2 linked regions of the Drosophila melanogaster genome follow. The protein of the gene in region 2 interacts with the protein of the main gene of each other region in a biochemical or structural test. Each region holds a gene or a part of one and is shown on either strand. Other genes may lie near its edges.

Region 1 (4,621 bases), on a different chromosome or scaffold from region 2:
GACTTAGATCCAACTGCTTAAGTGTTGCCGGGTAACTGGTTACATGTCCCATAGAACGCAGACTGTTGTATGACATATTCAGCCGTGTTAGGTTTACAGCCAGACAGGGCAAAGCAGCGGGGATACTGGTGAAGAGGTTATTTGCTATATTTAAGCTACTTAGCTGGGAGGAGCCCACACCAGCTGTCTTTCCATCGCCTAAATCTTGTTCATGCTGCCACTTCATGTCATTATCGGTTATGTCCAAAGTAGCCGACCATAGATTGCGATGGGTGAGACGTTGCTGAGTCACATTTCGCGGTTTGTTTGATGGCGGCTCCTCAAAAGATTGCAGATTCAATTTGTCTAGGCTCAGCAGCGAACTGCTAGTTTGCATTGGCGGCACAGGAAGATCCCGCAATAGGTTGAAGGCCACATTAAGTTCGCGCAACTTGGGTGCACGCCACAGGTCGAAGGGAAGCTGTTGCAGTTTGTTATTTGAAACATCCAATATAGATAGGGCGGGCAGGTGAAAGATGGCGGCTGGCAGCGTAGTTAACTGGTTGTCTTGTAGAAAGAGTTCATCCAGTACCGGACACCCATATGTCTGGCCTATTGGTGCAGGTAGATCGGTTATCTTGTTTTGCGCCACATTTAAATACCTTAAATGAAGGACTAATATAATTCTTGAAAAACTTATTACTTTGTCTTTACTAACCTTAGGCTAACCAAATGGAAAAGCTCCTGTGGAATTGACGTGAGAACGTTGTGCGAGAAATCTATTCGCGTGATAGCTGTCAGAGCAACCTCATTAAGTCGCGGATGCGACTGTAGCTTAGGATTCAGCAGCAACACACCGCTGACCATCCAGGGAACCCTTACAACAGACAACTGGACACTGGAGCCCATGCTGTGCCAGTCAATAATGGTTGGATTGTTGGGGAACATAGCACTGTAAGATATGTTGCTGGTGGACGGCAAAAACACGTTCACCTCCACTGGTGTGGGAAGACCCTTCTTGTTGATCTTGTAGTCTGAGTCCGGATGGACTCGTCGGGCCAAAAGACGACTCAGGATGGCCTCGTCGCCGCATGTAATAGCCATTCCAATGGCCGTGCCATTATCGTCGCGGGCTCCATGCTTAAGCAAGAGATCCAACATAGCCAGCGACCTTTGCTTGCAGGCCTCTGCAATGGGGACATTACTGAGCCCATATATTTCCTCGCAACATTTCGGGTCGTTGTGATCCTCAACTGGCTTGGCTACAATATTCGGATTTGCGCCGTGCTGTAGCAGAGACTGCACCACGTCTAGGTGGCCGCCTCGAACGGCCGCAAGCAGAGCTGTTTCTCTCGCCGCTCCACATAGCAGATTCACGTTAATGGGACACCGTTGGCACTCGGTTGACTCTTGTGAAGCTAGGTCGTCGGGTCCTTCTGACTCTCCAGATATGTGCAGTTTGGACATGATAGCCTGAATGCCAAATGAAATACGTTTCCTGGTGGGCGTAATAGGAGTGCTCACCGAGCTGGCGGAATCGCCCAACGTACGCCGGCAATGGAGCTGCCACTTTAGAAGCACACCAACCAGCTGCTTGTTTCCTAGGATGCTGGCAATATACAGACTCGTCTGACCCGTCACATCATGAGCGTTAGCGTCGAAGGGGAGCCGCCATTCCCACTGGCCCTCCTCGTCGCGATATGTCTGGTAGAGGTAGTCGGGATAACTGTAGCTGATAAGGAGTTCCAGCAGCTTGATGTGTCCATTGATGCAGGCGGCGTGCAGCGGCAGCCAGCGCTCTACAGTCGGCTGCTGGATCAGTTCTGGAAAATGGTCTAGCATCAGTCGGGCAATGCCCAAGTGACCGCTATGGACGGCGGCGTACAAGGGTGAGTACTTGGTCACGGCATGGGAGCGACCATCCGCTCCAGCATCCAGCAATCGCTGTGTAATGCTCTCGTAACCAGACTGGCAGGCTCTAAAACGAGACCGATATTAGTTTGGCTCAAAATGGACTAATTCTAAAAGACTTTTTCTCACAGGAATAGAAGGGTGTTTGCTCCTGAAGGAGCCATATTGACTATAATCTGACGCTCAGTTCCAAGAGCTGCCAGCAGCACCCGCACAGTCCGCTCATCGCCAGAGATCACTGCCGTTCGCAGCTCCCCGTGCTTGATCTGACGCACTTCCTCGCGGGCATCTGTGAAAGATAAGTTTTGCTTGGTTAACTAATACACAGCACCTTTGGAATAAACCAATTCCCACCCCGTATTGAGGATGCCTCAATGACCTCATCCACGAAGTAGTCACAGGCTTCCAGAGCTGTTTCAGTTCCAGTTTTGGGATGTTCCATGCTGAATTTCCATGACATTATGTAACCCAAATCGGTGCGAATAAGCCCCAAAAATTAATTGGCATCGGTATGATGACCGAACGCGCCGCTAGCAAAAACTGAACTGCGGAAAATCGATGGCCACGTTTTTGTGGTCATTGATCCAGGCCGTTTTATGTCGCACTGCGCAAGTCGGAGCCCAAGAAGCGCGGCAACTGTTGCACTTGTTCAAGAATGTGGCATTGGGTGAGTGCGTGGCATTTGTTTTGATTTGTCTCTTCGTGGGTGTCGGATGGTCCAGTGGTTGCACCAGTTGCTTCTGTGGGGGGTGGCTGTTTGAAAAAAGTTTTTGCGCGCCCACTTCCATTGCACCAATGTCACCCTGTGCCCTTGCTGGTGTTGTTGAAAAACCAATAACAACTGGTTGAAGTTTTAATTGCACCACTTAGGTAATTTGCATAGTCAAGCGTATAATGCTCATTTGCACTCTGACTAAATTTGCGCAAAACTAGCATATTGTGCATAATTTCACTAAAAGTTGTGTTATCTCACCTTCGTCGGAGTCGCTCATTGTTTTGGTTTGTGTACTTCACGAGATATCCAAGTCATGCATGGTATGTGTTAAATGGGTAGTTGTTATGGTCCGATTAACCAGTAGCACCTTTTACTGACCCTTACTTAATTATTTTGCACATTTTGCGAAATTTTCACTTTGTTTACCTTTTTGTCAACAAACAGTGTAACCTCTTACTGTTTTAGAATATATCTCCTCATTTTGGCACGATATGCTGTTAAGCGCTCTGTGTGACCGAAATATCGCAAGTGAATGCTGTTAATCAGTGTCGCACGCAGGGGGCTTCGTACTTTTCTCCAAAGATTAAAGCCAGCTTAATAACTAAATCATAATCTACCCAAAATCATTGATTTTTATGTCCATTGGCTTAAATTTATAAATTAAAATTAATTTAACAAGGCCGAACAAGTATTTGGAAGACGCATTTATTATTTTTATTCATACACATCTAAAAATTTGTTCCCAAGTGAAATATTTGAAATCCCAACTGATGCTGAAATATCTCATTTCTGATAGCATACATATATAAATACCAAAACGCGATAAGGTGGTCATCGTTTCTGTTACTTTGCACTGCTTGTCAACTCAACAACAGTAATATCGATATTATTTAAATCAGTTAAGCAGTGAATCACTATCGACTGTTACTTTTTGTTGAATTTTATTTTGTATGCTATGATTTTATCTAAAAGAATTTGATTCTTAGGAACTGTTAATTATTTTTATTTATTTTTTTTTTAACATGCAATTTCCTGTTATGACTGTTTACGAACAAGAATTTATTAGCACCGTGTATTTGTGTATATTTTATAAATACTGATGCCAACTGTAACCTATATCGATATAACAATCGAATGAAACACTATCGATATTAACCAGCGCCAGCCTAGAACGCCCTGTGTTCAACAGGAGTCACCCTGTGTTCGTTAACAGACGCTTAACAGCACGATCTCAACAATACAAATAAAAACAATTTAATATTCCTTAATCGAACACAAATTTGAGCCGATTGCACGGTGCGTTTGAAAAATAACAATACCGCGGAATGGCCGACAGAGGCCAACTGAAGGTGCCGGTGCAGAGAATCAAGTAAGGAGCAGCGTAAACTGCGCAGCTCACACCCAAAAAAAAATCGCTATAAAGGCGAGGGCTGGCCAAAATGGAAGCAAAAAACAAAAACAAACGAGCTGCGCCACAATGCAAGTGAAACTTCGATGAAAACTTGCCAATCCGTGTGCTTTTCAAGACTTTTCTGACTGTCTGCAATTTCCATTTTTGTGGCATCGCGACTTAGAGATGAGACATCGGTGCCGCGTAACTTTTTTATACCCTTTCCGCGGTATCAACTCCACCCGTTCGGTCACGGAATTTGAACATTTGGCTCTGAAATATGCCTTAATGGCTTAGATTTTCATTATGGAAACTTTTCTTTCAACGGCCATATCGAATTCGTTATAAATCCTGCTTACTTCAGTCATTCAACTGCCTAAAATTGCAAAAAAAAACACGTAAGGGCATTCATAGGTCGCCTTGGCTGACCCTGAATTCTTGTTTTTGTTTTCAAGTTGACCCCTCCCACCCCCAGCCAACAACTTATGACTGTGTGATTCATACTAAATAAAAGTCAGCGTTTTTGTTTTAATTAACAAGAACCGACGATTTTAGAGGCTGCTTTTCTATTTTATCCCATGTGGTAAAGGGCGGTTAGAACCAACTCAGTTTTACAGTGCATCAAT
Region 2 (3,414 bases):
TGTAGTTGTTGGACCACAAGGGATCGGTCTATCTGAACGAACATGTGCTCAGCACACTACTTTTGTATATATAAGAAAAATGGTAAAGGGCGGGGCGGGGGCCAAAGGCGAGGTCGTTTCCCAACTGCGCAGTTTCTTAAAGATCTATTTTTTTGTGGCGTTTGTTTGCCGGTTTTTGGATACATTATAAATATGTATGCATATCTTTGCAATAAGTGGGACACGCGCTGCTGGGGCCACTGACTGACTGGCTAACTAAAAAGCCGGCCGGTATTTCCAGCTGTCTAACATGTGTACCGCCCCCCAAAAAGCCCCCTTTCGCTAAATTTCTTCGTAAACAGTTCAAACAGTTCAACAAACTGCCGAAAATACTACTAAACCGAAACTGACTCAAGGTGAAGTGGAAAGTGTTCTATCACATAACGCGTGGCCTGCCAAGGTTGAATTGCCGATAAAGAAAGTAATTTGGCACTGAATTTCTCAAACATAAATTAAAATTTATAATTGTAAATTGGCAGCTACTGAATCCCAATGGAAGGTGTGGTTCTCTTTTAAATAATGTGTGCCTTTTTTTTATTGCATTTTACTTAAGATCTACGATTTTACAAGGTAACGGGGTCAATATGACCGAGAGAACAAACAAGGTGGAAGAACTAAGAACTTAGCATCTAGTTAATGGGTACACTAAGCTTATAAGATCGGTTTTAGTGGGTGCATCTAAGAACTAGTTGGATTTGGCAGTTGCTGCATGGCGGTGTACACGCCACACCCCCTACAGATCCAGTTGGAACTGTTCCTGGTCCTCAATCTTCAGCGACTTGGTCTGCTTGATCAGTTCCGTGGGGACGGGCACGCACTTGCGGAAGGGAGTACGCGGAGTTCCCCTCAGCAAGCAACTGGGCACGTTGGACGGCGGAGTTTGGCTCAATGGGGAGCCACGGAGATTCTTCATGAAAGCCCGCTCGTAGATAAGTTTGGTGCCTGGAATTATAGGAAAGCGGAAATTTTTATTAGTCAAGGTGGTCTGCGTTGCATCAGAAAGGTATTCAAAGTTCCCCACTGATAAGCCAGCTGAGTAAACGCTTCTTTGCCGCGCTACTCTGAGTCACGAACTGTGGAACATGTGCTCGGGATTATCTTCCAACTGACTGACTCGGCGAGATGGCCCAGTTTCATCAGCCAAAAAATGGTGAGTGAGTTTTACAAAAATAATGTATCACAACTCAAACAAAAGCTTGTTTGTTGTTTGAGCAAAGGAAAGAAACGGTATACTTGTTTATGTTTTCGAAATATGTTGATTAATTTCATCTTGATATCATATCTAATGATAAGAAAATCACTCCACTTTCCGGAAGGAACTTAATAATACTCGATGTAGTCTCAGCTTCCAATTTTCGAAACTTACCTCCAGGAGTGGTGGAGTAGAGGGTTCCGCCGGGCGTCGAGGAGTACACCTCGGGCATCTGGATCGGATCCGAGATGACAACCTTCCTGGTGATCATGGGCAGGGCCTGGGTGATGGCTTGACGGGCGGTGGGTGAAGCGGACATCTTAGCTGATTGATTGGATTGGTTTCGAAAACTTTCCGCTGGACGTGTAAGCACACTCGATATGGCTGCGACAATTTGATTGTTTACACAAACTGCGTTGTTTGTATTTCGTTGCTTGTATCAGCTATAGAGCTTGTGTGGCTGCTATGTGTTCACCGTTGGCTGTTCGCTAGGCGATTGCTGGCGGTATTACGAAGTGTGGCTCTATTTATACCCCCCCATTCTTACTCTCTCTCGCTCTCTTCTCGCTCTTTCGCCTGCTCTCTCGCCTGATTATTCTGCTTGGTCGGCTGATGTTTTTTGTTTTTATCTGGTGTATTTTCTGCGTAGTTTATGACAAACCGGCTGGTTCTTGTTGTTATTGCCGTATTCTAATATATTCCCCTATTGTTCTTATTTTTGTTGCAGCCTGCACACCTCGGAGGTTCTAGATGATAAGGGGTGTAGCGATGGTGGGGGGCTGTCTTGAGGGGCTTCTCGCCTTGAGCTCTTGTTTATCTTTGGTCATTTGTTATTGTTTAATGCACGGCAATATTATTGGTAAACAAGTTAGCCAACAGCACTAAACGCCAATCGCATTCTTTTCTAAAAACCAAGTCTATTGTCGATCTTGCTAGGGAAATGATGATGACTCAGGTGCAATTGGGATCTTATCTATGGCTGTCTGGGAGTCAAGAGGTGTTCCGCAGAATTTCGTGAAGTACTGCCGCTCTCTCCATGGGGCCATTATTTTGCACTCGTTTTCGCGAAATACCATTAATTAGCATAAAGACACGTCGCCGGCAATCGTGACGTAGGCTATGAGTGCCTTCTATGCATGTGCGAACTCGCGGAGCATAGCAATTTGAGCAACGATATTGCAGGTTTTTATGGGCTAAAAGATACCCAGCATTTCACTTTTTTTCAGGCGGAAAGTGTTCATTATTATCTGGCACGAGCCGTTTTGAAATAATTATCACGAAAAGATACACGTCTTACATAACTTACTTGCTTTATTTACTTAGATATGCAATTTTAGCGTGATTTCTATATTTAGGAGTGCACAATCCAAAAGTACGCTTAGCTCATATCAAAATTTAACTTGACTGATATGAAACATACATATTTAATATCTTTTCTTTGGCACATTGACTTCTTAGCCGTTTAATATTAGCGCACATATCTAAAGAAATACATATATCATATCACCAAATTTGGTGATCGAACCCTTATTAGTTCCCAAGTTCTTTGAGGTGGAATATCTTGTTTGGAATCAAACTAATATGCCCCACTGATCGCAGCAAGCATAGGGTGGATCCAAGCAGCGGCACGAGCGGTTTTAGCTATGCGGGGGCGATGTTGACGATATTTAATCGTTGGACGCATGTAAATAGTGCTACAGGAACTTTTGCCTACGTTGGCGCCCACGATTCGACGTAATTCGGATATTGGCCACGGGCCATTCCGAGGGATATGGGGTTGACAAAAGGTGGCCACGTGTGTTGATCTGCGGCGATCATGATCTCGATGTGGGACAGGGGATGGCGCCCACCTAGAAATCTGCACAAGGTCGATACTTAAGCGTGCTAATATTTATGATGGCTAAATGGGGAAGCTTGACAGACCTTGAAAGTAGATTTCCATGTGACGAGGAGCATATTTGAATTGGGGAAAGCATGACCCAAATCCATCAATTACACTAGATGGGGGTGGGAGTTAGCTGGGTGCCAACTGACCCCCAAAGTAGTAAACGGTAAACAAGGGAGCCAGAACACGAAAAACACGGACAATTTTGCCGTGTCATCTAGCACGTAGTCCACAGCATAGAAACCGCCCTACGTGCCGGCTGATATGTTTATATATTTTATTTTTTGGGTGAGAGAGC

What was found. Proteins that work in one complex are often made in the same cells at the same time.
Region 1: of the proteins of Thor (region 2) and Lrrk, one has a biochemical effect on the other in vitro, tested with the Drosophila melanogaster proteins (2 studies listed by BioGRID).

Annotation. Positions count from the first base shown.
Region 1 is NT_033777.3:20,633,899-20,638,519, reverse strand, and holds the start of Lrrk (Leucine-rich repeat kinase), read right to left. Parts: upstream 3,041-4,621; 5' UTR 2,883-3,040; coding exon 2,864-2,882; intron 2,705-2,863; coding exon 2,432-2,704; intron 2,422-2,431; exon of another isoform or gene 2,333-2,421; coding exon of another isoform or gene 2,245-2,332; intron 2,180-2,244; coding exon 2,020-2,179; intron 1,958-2,019; coding exon 698-1,957; intron 642-697; coding exon 1-641.
Region 2 is NT_033779.5:3,476,752-3,480,165, reverse strand, and holds Thor (thor), read right to left. Parts: upstream 1,733-3,414; 5' UTR 1,551-1,732; coding exon 1,406-1,550; intron 982-1,405; coding exon 773-981; 3' UTR 554-772; downstream 1-553. UniProt on the Drosophila melanogaster protein: Repressor of translation initiation that regulates eIF4E1 activity by preventing its assembly into the eIF4F complex. Hypophosphorylated form competes with eIF4G1 and strongly binds to eIF4E1, leading to repress translation.